Lonchura striata: one gene and its partner. The main gene of each other region encodes a partner of the protein of the gene in region 2 in a complex. Links are inferred from orthologs where the notes say so. Each region holds a gene or a part of one and is shown on either strand. Other genes may lie near its edges.

Region 1 (7,746 bases), on a different chromosome or scaffold from region 2:
AAAGTTAGAGCCCAACAGGTACACAACCCCTGCTGGGGGGGTTCACAACCAAAGCTGCTGGGTGGAGCTCTAAGCAATCTGGTCTTATACAAGGTGTCTCTAGACCTAGATGATCTTTAAGGTCCCCTCCAAGCCAAACCATTCTATGATTCCATTTTCAATCCCATTAGCCAGGTAAATGCAACTACCTGTTCTTTAGTCTATACAGCCCTTGCACTCTTGCCACCATTCCCTGAGAACAGAAGAAGCTGATTTTGGATCTGTGCCTGTATAAGTACACACCTGCATATGTGTCAGAGCAGGAACCATACAACCAAATCAGCACCTGACAGCCAGCACAAATCCAAAGGGCAATAGTTGTTGCAGCATATACCACAGTGTAGATAGCCACAATACACAAGAGCATCACCACACAATTTCAGAAGACTGTAAGCATTCACCCAGAGTAACACCATACCATATCAGAAGGCTACAAGCATCTGCCCTTCTTGTTCTTCAGCCCAACCTTTTATACCCCTCATTGTTCATGGAGTGCACCTGTGTGCCTTCTGTTCCCTTTGGTGGTTGGTCAATGCACCTGGGCTCTCCATGGCTCATTGCTGTCAGTGCTGCTCCCCTGCTTCTCACAGCTGTAGCCCACTGGGGATGAGGCTCAGCCACAGCCCCACTCCCAATGACCACAAACTGTGTGCCTACAAATTGACTTACTGAGCTTTGAGTTATCTGTCATGCCACGTATGTTTCAGGAACAAGTATAAGATTAAAATAGTCACCAAGAGGAATGCTCACCGGCTGAAGCACTTTGATTTCTCCAAAAGATCAGTTGCACTCCTCAGCCACCTTTACAGTTGGTAAGAGCTACAGGATAAACATTTTGGAAAACAGGCCAGTTTCCCTCTGATGTCTGCTGATAACAAGGTCTGTACTTACCTTTCTGTTACCATTGTTCTCTCAGAATACATCTTGTTCTGATACAGACAAACCAAGAGATAACAATCTGTGGGAAAAATGCTGTCTGACAAACACGAAGTACATTTCTTGGCTAATATCCACATTACCTCAGAGGGAATATTTTGAGCTATCTGAGGCCCTGAGATGGCTCTCTAAGGAAACACAGGGAGAACTCCATGAGCCACAATCTGCTTGGTTCTGTGTCTGCTTGTTTGTTCACTTCTTCAGCTTAAAGTGCACCTGAGCAAGCAAGACAACCAAACCTAACACAGAAGTCAAAACATTATTAAAATGTTCATGCTGGTGCAATGTGAAAGAGAAATATTTAATGCAATACCCTCTGCCTCTGTTCAGAAAATGAACTGCTGCATATGAAGCAACTCCTTAATTCAGCGGTTCTTACAGAAGACCCTGAAGCTAGCCAACCATAAGCTTATTTTCCACAAAAAAGCCCTTATCTCAGATAAAATTTCACATTTATTCTGAAAATATAAGGTGAAAGCAGAACCTGAACAGATGTTCACTGCAAAGATCAGCAACAGTCTTAAGGTAAACTGCAGTTCAAGGTACAAAGAATGAAGTACCTGACCAGAGCCCAAGAACAATGCAAATTAAATATCTGTAGGTCTTTACCCTGAATCAATAATATTTCAACTATTAGTTAGGTAGAGTAATTGGAGGGCAATTATACAAGCTCAACAATATGAAAAAAAGTTTCAGTTGCATCAGTTGCATCACTGAAACTTTACTGTAGTCAAATAGAAGTTACTAAAATCATAAAAAATGGTAACATCAGAGGACCATAAGAAGAAATACAATATTTTATCAATTTCTCGAGGTTGGGATTAAAGGCACTTGAGACAGTATTTCATGTTCAGACTCAGGTGTTTATTATTTCTTATCTATGTTACAGTCTCAGTACTGTGAGTTTGGCAGCTTTTTCATTAGCAAGGCACAAAATGGCTAACTCTTGTTACAAGTTCTTTTAAAACTAAACTATCCAATTAAGAAAGGACACCTAGATTATTTTCCCTTTTAACCCAATAACTGATCCCTTGAAGTCCGCAATGTGGACTTTTCTGTTCAGTCACAAAACACCACCCAAACCCATGAAGAAGGAAGAAGAACAACCTGCCTCTGCCCTAAAACCTCCATCTTGCTTCATATTTATTTCTATATTCTAAAATCCCAAACTCTAAGTTTTCCACCCAGTGATATTACAGACTTCTAACCACCTGCACACCTGTAATCCCAGTGCTATTTATAAATTTTAAAAGCCTGTTCCACAACCTCAGGACAAATGTAGTGTTCTCCTGTGGGTCTGTGTCTTTAAGCACAGAAAGTTTTAAATTCTCAGCATCCAGGATTCCAACAATATTTGAATAAACTATTAAAATGTGGTCTTGTGAGAAGCATTTAGGAGCATGGCTCTGCAGGAGTTTGAAGTATATTTTTACTAGCTTTCTGAAGACACACTTATAAAGGTTTTGAGAGCATCTCTATAACTCTGACTTCTCCGTGCAATTGTTCTGGAACTGTTCCACCACAGGTGAAATGCTCATAGGAAATTTTCCCTGAAACCACAAGCTGACAAGAAAACAAACCAAGGAAATTCTTCTACCTAGGAACACTACCAGGAAACAAGAAACAAAAACCAAAACCAACCAATCAACCAAAACTAAAAAAAGAGAGAATCGTAAACAATACCTTGGAGGAGACTTTTTCCTTGGAAGAAGCCTTATACCCACCACCTTGTTCACCTTTTCAGAGCTGAGGAAAACAAACTTAGCACAACTGAGTTTGAAAATGAGATTTATAGTCAATGTCAGTTGTGGTTCCCCTAACATGTACCTCCCGTCCCTTCTCCTCCTGTGAAAGAAAGGAAGTATTTCAATAGACTCAAAAAGCATTGCTGTTCCCTTCCCCGAATCTGGTTAATTCAATAACAGAAACAATTTACATTCTAGTGCTGAAAATCAATGTTTGGACACTTGTTAAAGACTAGTTAAGTCTAATGACTTAAGCATCCCATCAGAAACAAAGCCAGCATTGAACTACAACTAATAAATTTACAGACTATTGGATATAGACTAAAGCAAGTACATAAAAAAAGGCAGAATGAAGTAAGTTAATCACTTGGTAAGTCCAGTAGATGCCTTCTAGCTAGTTGGCCCTCGGCACTTTGCTCCTATCCCCAAAACAAAGCAGATGCCAATAGAAATGCACAGGACCTTTATACATTAGAAATGCTTTTCTTAAATACTTCCATATTTATGTCATTAGTGAAAAAGGCTCAGATAAACAGATCATTTAATAGAGATGTTTTTGCCTGTGTGAATAAAAGTAAGACCAAATTAACATGAACTTTAAACATTTTAACTTCCCAGCACAGTCCATAAGGGAAAGTCATGCACATGTACAGCAACATACAATGAACTTGCCTTAAAGATGTAAACAGGGGGCACTCTTATCTCAACTGAATACCTTTGGAGGAGTTACTTTCATTAGCAGTCTCATTGGACATTAACCATTGTTATTTAACCAGTAAGCTTTAATGCAATACAGTCCCAAGACCTTCCCAAAATGAGCTGATGTTATTATTATTTCATTTATAGATAACTGGGGAACAAAAGCTGTGTGATCTAGACACCATTCTAATTCCTGCTGATTTTAGGAGGAAAAAATAAAACTGAATAATTCAGATGTGACCCAAAAGGGATTTAAAATGCTGAACTATTGGTGGGCATGACCCCCCTGCCCCAAAATGCAATAAGCGAAGCCTCACCATTGACTATTCCATGACCAAAAATTATCCTTAATCCTGGAGTGCTTCTGCCAGTTTCCAAGTTCTTCACTGACATGAAGGAGGGGAAAAAATAGAGACATACATCAGGTTCCACTCTCTGGGGTAAAAGCTTATCATTACCACTGACCTGCTGGAAAGTAGCTCTGCAGAGAAAGACCTGGGGGTCCTGTTGGACAACAAGCTATGAGCCAGCAATGCCCTTGTGGCCAAGAAGGCCAACGGTGTCCTGTGCACTAGGAAGAGCACTGCCAGCAGATCGAGGGGATTGATTCTGCTCCTCTACTCAGCCCTGGTGTGACTGCTAATATTAGAAGAGGTGTGTTCAGTTCTTGGCTCCTCAGTACAAGAGAGAAGTGGAGCTCCCGCAGCAACCAGTGGAGTTCAATGAGGATGAATGGTCAGCTGGAGCTTCTCTCTTATGAGCAAAGGCTGAGGGAGCTGGGCCTGTTTGGCCTTGGGAAGAGATGATTGAGTGTGGACTTCTTCAATGTCTATCAGTATCTGAAGGGAAGGTGTCAGAGGATGGAGCCAAGCTCTCCTCAGCGGTGCTAAGCAACAGGACAAGAGGCAATGGGCAGAAATGGATGCACAGAAGTTCCACCTAAACATGAGGAAAAAATATTGTGTGGGTGACCATGCACTGGAACAGGCTGCCCATAGAGGTTGTAAAGTCTCCCTCACTGGAGATACTCAAGAATCATCTAGATGGGATCCTGTGCCAAGTGCTGCTTGAGCAGGGAGCTTGGACCAGCTGACCCACTGCGGTCCCTTCCAACCTCACCCACTGTGTGATTCTGCGATTTGCAAAACAAAGCAAGCCCGCAGAACCGGGCGCCGCTATCCGCTTGGGAAGGAAGCACCGTGGCAGGCACTTCCATCGCCCGCTCTCCCGCCGCCTACAGGAATATCGCAGTTTTCCACACGCGTGCGCGGGGCCCGTGGGCGGCCGCCGGGCGGGGTCGGGCGGGGCCGGGCGGAGGCGGCGGGCGGGGCCGCGGCAGTCGGTGCGCGCTCGCCTTCCGCCTCAGAGCAGGGGCGGCCGCGCTCGGGCCTGTGCCGGGCGGCTGTGGCGCCGCCGTCGCTGCTGTTCGGCTGCGTAGCTCTTCCCCCGGCCCCTCCCTTCCCTTCCCCTCGGGCCCAGCCGCGGCGATGGGTTCCCGGGCGTCCACTCTGCTGCGGGACGAGGAGATCGAGGAGATCAAGAAGGAGACGGGCTGTGAGTGCGGGGCCTGAGTGCGGCGGGGCGGGGCGGGAGGTAGCGCGGGGCCGGCGGCCGGAGCGGGGCCGGCGGCCGGAGCGGGGCCGGGCAGGCCGTGCCCCGCTCCGGCCGCGGCGGTCGCGCCGGGGCAGAGCCCGCTCCCCGCCACCCGCAGCCCCGGGGCCGGGCACGGCTGGCAGGCCCGCGGGAGCCTGGGAAGCGCCTCCCGGTTCCCCCCCACCGCTGCTGCCGGTAGCAGCTGCGGGATCCCAGTGGGACTGAAGGGAAGCAGCGCTCTTGGTGTGTGCAGTAGTGTATTCGGTCAGAGATAACTCCTTGGGTTTTGAAGAGTTGTCTGTCTCGATGCCTGATGCCGGAGTTTCTCTCAGGTTTTAACCCAAGGAAACTGTCGTTGGATAGTAATTTTTTTCCCCAAAGTGTTATTTGTTTCATGGGCTAGTGCTAAAGTTGCCGTAAGGGTACTCGGAATGAATGCTGTGTGGCATTTAAACCGTAAAGGAAGTAATGTAACTCACGAGAGGTAAGTGTTAAAAACTAAAAAGAAGTGAAAATTCCTGTACTAGTCAGCAACTGGGAGAGCATTATTTAAGCTGGACTCTAATATTTAGATACTTTACCCTACGGTATGATGAAGTTGTTCTGCATAAAGTACCTTAGAGAAGGTGAAATTCCAGTGTTGTTAATTTGCCTGATAGAATGATTGCCTGAGAGTTCCAGCAAATGATAATAAATGGAGGATGCCTTCCTAACTATCTGGAGAGCAGAGGTCATCACATCACAGGTATCACTTTGCTGTTTGTTTCCCCAGGAAACTTCTCACGTTAACATGCTGTGCCCAGCTGACAATTTTTCTTCTGAATATACCTTCTGATCTATTCTTTCTACTTGAAAATGCTTTCTTCAGTTTTCTTTCCAATATACATGGTATCATATATTCTTCTTAAGTGTTAGTTTATTTGTGTCCGGAAAATGAGTGGCTACAGAAAAAGAGTAGAAGATTAAAACGTCACTGGAACTACTGTAGTGGCAGGCTGAGTGAGTTAATATATTTTCCATGATCCTTTTTCCATCTGTCATGAAATGTGGTGATAAACAAGTAGGAATGTCTGTTTATTCAGCAATAACTTTCTATTGTTTTTTCTTTTTAATAACAAAGATCATGGAGTAAAGGTAGCATCCTCTCATTTATAAAGATGCTTCAAAATCCAAACCCCAAATCTGGAATATTTTTCCAGAAGGCTTTACATTTTTCCTCATGCTACTACTTAATTTATTGTCTGTGGTGTTTTATTCCTTAATGTTTACTTACGTGATAGTTAAATAAATACCATTAAGATGGCTATATAGGCACTGTATGCAATAAATCCACTTGACTCTAGTTAGCCTCTAAATGCTTTTCTTGTATCATCAGAGGATGAGCAAAGTTATGACTGGTGGGTTTCAGCTTTGTGACCTGATGTGTGTTCGTTTTCCCGTGTTTTAATCTAGTAAATTTTATAATTAATACCACTTTGTTAACCAACCATTGCTCTCTGACTCATGCTTGCTTGTAAATAATCACAGTGTGTCTCATTGACTTTATCAATAATTTTCTTCTTCTCCCCAGTCTGTAACTGCAGTTCAGGAATGTCATTTTTTTCTGCTTTTTGTGCTTCTCTAGGTAGATGGAAAATTCCACCAAGTTATTATCACAGTTATACACTTCATATAGGTGAAAATATTTATACAAGGTGATGAAAAAACCCAAATAAACTCTGGTTATCTAGATCAAAGTTCACAGGCAGATTGCTAAGGTAGTGTTACTGAATAGACTTCTGTGGTCTGTTGGAAACTTGACGCTGATGGTACTTTAGCTACTGAAGAGTTTGAGAAAGGGACTTCGTAGACATAAAAAAAATCTGTCAGCATTAAAAGTCCATCTTGAACTGATGGTCTGATAAGTGTTCCCAAGGATTCCTTTTTGGCCTCTTTACTGTGAAATGTGTTTTCTACAGTTCATCTGGGGTAGGTGTGAAGCACTTAGAACACTTAAACAATTCGATTGAGTTCAACTGTGGAATTATGTAACTTCTGCTCAATTTCATGTAGCACAAAACTGAATATCTAATGATACTGGCATGAGTGAGAAACTGTATGTTAATGTTCTTCAGCAGAACAGACATAAAGAGCATGTCTTTTAGGGCACTAGAAGCATAGTCTTTAAAAAGCTATGCAATGACACAATCTGTTGAATGAAATATGCTTGGATTAAAATTCTATTTTTTTTTTTGTGGTAGTGAAAAGCACTTTGTAGCATAAGTTCAGTCACGTGCAAAGGTAATGCATGAGGTTCTCAGCAGCAGGTGCGAAGCCTGAAGTTGACAGTCCTAAATCTCACATGATGTTATCTAGAAATCATTTGCTTTGCATATAAACATTTTGAAATTTGAGCATGAAAACACCTTGAAGTCATCCTAATTGCTTTGATATTTCAGTAACAACTATAAAAAATAAAAAAAAAGATGAGAGGCCCAAGATGTTGTTTGTCTGCATTCTGTTGCAAGCTTTTGGAAAGCTGTTGGAATGTAACAGTATTCAAATTATTTGGTTCACACCCTTTGTTTCCATGCTTTGAAGCGCTCTACCTAAGGATTAATAATAAATTAATGCTTATACATTAATTTAGGAGAAAAAAATGTTTGCTTAGTAGCACATAATTGATTTTTCTAATGGATATTTATATATTTTTCTAAGCATATAAATATTTTTATATGAGTTTATGCTACTGTTG
Region 2 (7,095 bases):
CTGTGTCAGTTTGTCATTCGTACTTCCCACTTCTGCTAGATTAGCTTCTAATCTAATATAAATGGGGGATTAATTAAAAACAGTAATAGCAACAACAACACACCAAAAACCCCTCACAATCTGCCTAAAATGTCTTACAATTTCAAAAATATTTGAGGCTAAAAATGAAGGTTCTGGGAAGAATCCCTTTCACTTGCTATCCTTAAAGTGAGTCTTTTCTTGAAATGAGTCATGATTAATTCAGCTAATTTCTTCTTCAACCCTACTTCCTATCCAAATCTATTTCCAACTATCTGTCTGATTAATTCATTCTCACCCTAGTCTTCATCTTGTTCACCTTAACTGGTAGTAATGTGTGTGGGCTGAATTAATAGACTTTCTAATGTAATTTCAGAGATTCATATTTATAATGTTGTAACACAGTGCTCTGCAACATCACTTAGTCCAGCAGTTTTTGTCCAACTCCTTGCAGCATAAACTTGCACAGCAGCACTCATTTAACTTGGAGAGTGGTTGGCAAAATATTAGCTGTTGAATCAAGAAATTCCCTACAAATTTGTGTGGTTCTGCATTAATCTGAATTAATTTTCACAAAACTGTGCTGTTCTATTGGTACAATTCCATTCACAATAACTACTGTTCTATTTAACTTTGTATACAGTTGGCATGATGGCATAAAAATATATACCGGAACTATATTCCACTCAAATCTTAACCTGTTTACACATTTAATAGACATTAATATAAAAAAGTGCATTTTCTTGAGGAAAGACAGGAGTGATAATAAGTGATTTATGATGATTTATATTGCATCAGGAGATTTTTCATGCTTCACTTGCCAAATATTTGCTATTTATTAATTTCTTTTTCCTTTTATAAGATTTCTCAGTTTGACAATGATGTGCTTCTTAATTTCATATCACCTTAAACAGATTTTTGACAAATGCTAATATTAAAAGTTAATTGTAGCTTCTACATCTAAATTAGCATAACTGAAATACTGTGTGTGCTTTCCAGAGAAAACAGATACAATTTTAGGGATTTTTTTCACTGAAATTGTCTTTTACCTTAGCTTTGACAAAATTGCCAAGAAATAGTCTTTACAGGACACAGGTCATGTGAAGGGTATATATAAGATACTTGTATAATACTTAGATACTCATAATTCTTTTCTTTAAGCCATTATGTACACAGTATTTCCAGAAATGACAGTGCTGGAGTTCAATCAATTGCCAAAAGAAAAAAAAAATAGAAGGCTCAGAAAGCACCATTATTTCTTCAGTAAGTAGAAATTTTCCTTGTGCAATCTTTCTGGAAGTCAGGAAATATCAGCTGTTTTGTGATATGATATCTTTATTGCAAGCATAATAAATACTCAGCCATTTTTTTTGTTACTGATACAGAGTCAGGTTATTGGAAACTATGTAAGGGCTTCCATAAAGAACATACAAGAAAATGGACTCTGATAATAAATACATATATGCAAATGTATTTTGTACAGGTACATATTTTGTACATGAGCTCATGTACTCAGTGGACTCTTGGTTTATTGTACATGTATTGGTGTACCTATTGGAAATTCATGATTGTCAGTCCCTTCCTATGTCCTCTCTGTGTCCTGCTGAAATATTAATGAATCACACAACAATTCCCTGATATTTACAGTCATTTGACACCCTGCCAACTTAAAAATATTTTATAAGCAGTCACAAGTGCACTTTGAACTATTAATTTGTTGTTCTTAAAAGAAATACTGTGTTGGCATTTTAACAGTGTTTTAAACCTTGTTTTTAGAAGATGGTGCTGACAACTTTTTTCCCCTAATACTGGTTTACTCCACCAGCAAACTCAGAATTGGCATGTAACTTTGGTTACTGTTTTCACGGGTAGAACATTGCCTGTGGGCAATCAGAGGCATGATCTCAACTGCTGCTCCTCCAAGCCTTTGCTTATCTCTAGAAGAGATCCACTGGAGAAGGTTTTCTCATTTTTCTTGCTCTGCTGCAGGTATTCTTGATCTATGACACATTTAATAATTACCATCTGGACAACATGGCTAGCTTCAGCACTTTCAATGGAAAGATTTTTTTCTAACCAGTCAGCATTTTTTGGAACTAGATTTGGGAAGAATCATGAATGTAAGATGGAATACTGGCAGTTGTGGTGCCCTTTTACTAGCTGCAGCTGAAATATTGAATTGTGGTATGAGGATACTTGGAACAAATTGTGTCAGTAAAAACACTGCCAACAGCTTGTCGACTGAAGTTTGTGGTTCTCCTAATAGTAGCAAACAGAATTCATGTTAATGACTAGGAAATAATACTCTCCATGGAGCTCAGCAACAGGTTACATAAATGATCAGCAGCTACCTACTTCCAGCTACAGTTTTCTCTCTCGACTGGCAATCCAAAAAAATGTTGCTTAGGCATTGGCTACAGCTAGTTGTGGGACAGTCACAGAGATTAGGAGCAAATTCTAAACAACATTTGGGTGCCCAAGTCATGCTCTGAAAAAGGTAAAAAAACGTAGATAGAATTTGTTGTTAGACACTGAAAAACTCTCCAGGTCTTTGTTTACAACATTTACTGAATGTAAAGGAGATATTTTGCTATGTGTCATGCATCCTAAAAAGACTTGCCAATTTTGTCTTCAGATTTACTTCCATTTAAAGAACTTCCCACATAGCTTCCTTTCACTTAAATAAAGAAGAAGGAAAGAAAGTCCCCAAGATGTTTCATTGTTTGAACACAGTTGGTCCAATTTGGGGGCTGTGCTTGCTTTGAGGTAATAATGACCATAACATTCCATGGAAACTTATAGAGTTAATTAACTAGCTAATTTTTTTCTGGAGCGTCTGTGCAGGACAGATGACTATGAAAAAGTGTGTAGGTTTTCTCCTTAGTGATTGAAATAATAAAAATATTTCTTTGTCTTCCAATAATTTTAAAGGAGTTAAAGGAGTCCTGTTCATTTTTTTACCTCTAATAAAACCAGTTGTTATATTAGAAAAACAAACAGGAAGTGTTTTTCCACAGACAGTCACAGAAGGAGCGGACTGCACACTGATTGTTTTGGAGTACACAAGAGTGGAGAGGAGCTGCTGCTGCTGTTGCTGAGGTGTGTGGAAAGGCGACCTCAGCTCTGCCTGTCGGGAACAGGATGCTTTGTTGTCCTTTTAGTGGCAAGGTGGTGATTATCATGTGTCCGTTTCCCTGCAGCGCCATGGACCCATGATAACATGGACCATCCAGGATAGCAGGCAAATGTTATCAGCAGGAAAACAGGCTTTAGCGGGAGAGTAGAACCTCCTAAAAGGTGTCGAGGTGTAAGCATTAGAAACAAGCAAAAACACATAGCGTTTTTAATACACCACATCTGAACAAACAGCTGTAAGCAGACCTAAGTGAAAAGCCTAATGTTGCCTGCTGGTGTCCTTTCCCGGAGCATCGTGGGAAGAGGTGCTCTCTGGTGGACAGAAGGAAAAGCTGGTCTGAGAAACGTGCTGCTGCGCCCTCGGTGTGCTAGATCGACCTCAGAAGGGTACTCGAGGCTGAGAAGCAGACAAGAGTGCGTTTTCTCTGTGACAACCTGTCGGGAGAGTGGGGCTGGGAGGAGGAAGCTGATACAAAAGCATCCAAAGTGCCCGAACTGAGGCCCGCGGATGTCCCGCGCACCCGGCTCCGGTGTGGACGCGGACCCCGGGCTCCCCTAGGACATGCCCTCGAGAGCGTCCCGGTCCCGGCTCCGAGCGCCAGCAGCTCCGGCCGCTGCTGTTCGCTGCCCAGCTGCCCGGGGCCGCACGGACACAGCCCAGAGCCTGCGGCTGGCCCCGCGGCCGAGCGGAGCTGAGCGGAGCTGCCCGCCGACCCCCGGGCGCTCCGTCAGCCGGGGCATCGCCGTCCCCGCACGGCAGCCTCTGCGGGAGCGGCGGAGGCTCCGCCTCCGCCCGATCGGGAACGGCCTGATAAAGGCAGGTGCGGGCGAGCAGCGGGACCCCGGCTCGAAGCATCTGCTTGTGCACGGAGCCCCTGAGCCGTCCTTCGCCACCCCGCGCGGGGCGGGACAGGAGGGGACACAGGGGACCCTGCCGCCGCCGGCCGCGCGCGCCGCTGTCCCGCCGTCCTGAGCCGTCGGGCTTGTCTCTGCGAAAGGACAAGGACCTCGCCCCCAAGGACCTCCGAAGAGGCGGGATCTCTCCGGGAAGGGGAAGCAGGATTTCGTAGTGTGGCTTGAAGATGAGGCAAGTATCTGGAGTGGCGCTCCTCCTGGGGCTGATGGCTCTCCCAGCGGCGCTGGGACAGAGAAGCTCGGAAAGCCATAAGAATAGCAACCAAAGCTTTGCCATCGTCTCTTTCAAATGGGATCACGTCAAGGAGCCCTATATCATTGCACTCTGGATACTCGTGGCTAGCTTGGCCAAAATCGGTAAGTCTGGAGTTATATATTAATACATGTCCTCTCCCTTTCCCTTCCCCCTTGCCCTTCTCCCACCCAGCGTAAATGAAGAAAGCTTATCATAGGTCCGCGGACCCGTTTTCAGGGGGTTTACTGTACTCTGTCCTGATTTCATAATACTGCCCTACACGGTGCTTAGCAGTGTGATTTTCACCAGCCTCGAGGGGTTACCCAGTTCATTTTCACCGCCCACGACTCTGTCTTCTGCATCTGACTCCTTGTAAGCCCTTTCAATTCCCTGAGACCTTGCATTCCTCTTGCTCCCAGGAAAAACTTTTTGCAAAAGTGAAACAGAAATCGGGCCTTACTGCTTACACAATATCTATTGCACTTTATGATATGCTTTTCTTCTGATTATAGTCGTTAGCTATATCAGTTGGTAACATCAAAAATAACCAATGCAAACTGCACATATGAGCTTAACATTCTCTGTTTTGAAGTGCATTGCTGGATCAGTGAAAGAGCATCCTTTATAGAGAAAGACAGTATGTATTATCAGACCATCTGATGTACCTGAAAAAAAAAAAAAGCTTTAGAGCACCCAGAATTTTCTTCAAGAAATTGGAGTAAGTGAAAAGCCAGGACTTAACCTAACTTCAGTGTAGTTTAAATTAATTTATATGAATGGTCCAACTCTTGTGTTCTGAACTTTGTGACTTTTCCAAAAGAGATCTTGTATCAATAATGCAGTTTGCTGAATGAGAAAAGTCGCCGTTTAATTAGAATGTGTTTTACTTGGTTGATGCTATTACTTTCAGACCTTTTGACTTTGGATATCTAAAAACACATCTCCAGTTTGGCTGATACTGTAAATGACATTTTCATTTAAAATAAATATTTTCTATAATCAGTCTCATCTCAGAAGGTCAGCTGAAAATCCAACTGAGGACTTTTCTGAACTTGTACTGTTAATACTAATTTGGTATACCAGAATCACATTCTGTAGATTTTTCATGCCACAGAGAATGAAAGATGTAAAAAGGTATACTTAGGTATATCTTATCTAGCACATAAGCCAAGCATAATAAGACCTGAATGGAAAATGCTGTCTCCAAACACAAAAAAAAAAAAAAAAAAAACCAGCATTTTAAAGAGTAGTGTGTTACAAGTTGGAGTGATATTGTACATAATTTTCCAGCAGTATTTGCATCTTGGCTTTTACTTGATTAACCATAGATATATTACTAAATACCTTTATCTGAACCTGTTTGACTACACTATGCAAATAGTTTGTCTTCAGACACGTGCTGCATCACCTAGATTACATAACAGACAATTGTGTTTTACTTTACTTTTATTGATGAGTTATAGCAATTACGAAGCTGAGGAAACCATATACAGGAAACAACTGACAACTGAGTACATATAAAATTGTGCTGAACAAAGTAATAAACAGGCTGCTTGTTTGAACCTTCTTTTTGAGATACTCTTCTAAGTAAGTATAGTTATTAAGACCTTGTGCTATTTAGGCTTTGCTGTTCGGTACATGTGGCCCAGTTGTACAGTGTAGTGTATTAGTGGTGCACAACCATATCAGTTTGTGTCTAATGCCACTGAACCCAAGAAGAGGACAGTTAGATTGTACTATATTTCAATTGCAATGGCATGGATTGAGATTGGTTGAGATTAATATGAGCCATTTTACTGTGAAGTCCTTGATATAAACTCTTGATAAGGTGCTTACTGTTGTGGTGCTGATACTGTTTTTAAATTCTTTTTAAATTCTTAAAACAGCTGCACAGAGCATGTCACTCATTAGAAGATCATACCTATCATCAGCTCTATCACTTTTCTTCCCCAAAGCTCTCAAGCTTCATTTGTCTCTCTCTTCACCTTTGCATTTTTGATCCTATATTTCTCTGGGCATAGTTTCTGAAGAAGCAATGGATAACTGCTGTATTCCCCTGAGAGCCTACAAATGTCTATGCTTTCCCTACCAGTCACAAATAACACACAGAAAAGCAAGAATGTACACTCACTGTTCAACACCTTTTTAATGAAGAAATCATTAAATGAATCATTTAAAAGAATCATTAAAAGAAATCATTTAATGAAGGTGTTCATGTAAGCGAGAAAGGGAAAAAATAGCTTTTCAGCCTTCTGTTTGCCTTGGTGTGTCAAGGGTTTTGGGAAGTAGGTCAGAAATCTATGAGATTTTGAATTGAAAAAGTCCTGTGCTGGATCAAAGAAAGTTTACATTTTCAAAAAGCAGACCAAAAAGAAGCAAGAAAGAAAACAGAACATCTGTCCTTGGGTTTCTTTACTACCTGAAGCAGATCAGTTGTAGTGGTGTGAAAGTGCTGGTTTTACTGTAGGTTTTTCAGCAGGGAAGGAGCTGTTCTTACACATGCAAGCTCATTTCTCCATGACTACAGGGATTGGGAGTTATTTTACTGATGGATGATAGACAACTGGGTCATTAGAAAATGTTCTAAGAATTGCAGCTTGTACCTGGGGATAAAGGTATATGAGAATACTTTGATTTCTCTTGAATTAGAATAGCATTAGTGGTTTTGTGTTTATTTGGGTTTTTGTTGGTTTTGTTTTTTTTTTTTAAGATTTGTTTCATTTCTGTGGAAGTTCAGGGGTTTTGTAATAAACAACTTTCACTTCATGATGTTATATGACTGGGGGAAGCAT

What was found. Proteins that work in one complex are often made in the same cells at the same time.
Region 1: the proteins of SLC9A3 (region 2) and CHP1 are in contact, whole or in part, in a cryo-EM structure (PDB 7X2U), measured with the Homo sapiens proteins. The link is inferred for Lonchura striata from reciprocal best matches to the Homo sapiens genes SLC9A3 and CHP1. Residues at the interface, in NP_004165.2 of Homo sapiens: Tyr396, Arg397, Met398, Gln400, Glu402, Arg474, Leu475, Asn476, Glu477, Leu479, His480, Gly481, Arg482, Ala483, Phe484, Asp485, His486, Ile487, Leu488, Ser489, Ala490, Ile491, Glu492, Asp493, Ile494, Ser495, Gly496, Gln497, Asn501, Arg504; in NP_009167.1 of Homo sapiens: Arg30, Leu31, Arg34, Leu38, Lys40, Glu49, Phe51, Gln52, Arg53, Ile54, Glu56, Leu57, Ala58, Ile59, Asn60, Pro61, Leu62, Asp64, Ile66, Phe70, Phe83, Leu87, Phe90, Leu115, Phe117, Ala118, Leu121, Tyr122, Leu135, Leu139.

The regions. Positions count from the first base shown.
Region 1 is NC_134608.1:37,536,233-37,543,978, reverse strand, and holds the start of CHP1 (calcineurin B homologous protein 1), read left to right. Parts: upstream 1-4,744; 5' UTR 4,745-4,906; coding exon 4,907-4,973; intron 4,974-7,746. UniProt on the Homo sapiens protein: Calcium-binding protein involved in different processes such as regulation of vesicular trafficking, plasma membrane Na(+)/H(+) exchanger and gene transcription. Involved in the constitutive exocytic membrane traffic.
Region 2 is NC_134603.1:84,099,188-84,106,282, reverse strand, and holds the start of SLC9A3 (sodium/hydrogen exchanger 3), read left to right. Parts: upstream 1-4,089; 5' UTR 4,090-4,235; coding exon 4,236-4,425; intron 4,426-7,095. UniProt on the Homo sapiens protein: Plasma membrane Na(+)/H(+) antiporter. Exchanges intracellular H(+) ions for extracellular Na(+) in 1:1 stoichiometry, playing a key role in salt and fluid absorption and pH homeostasis.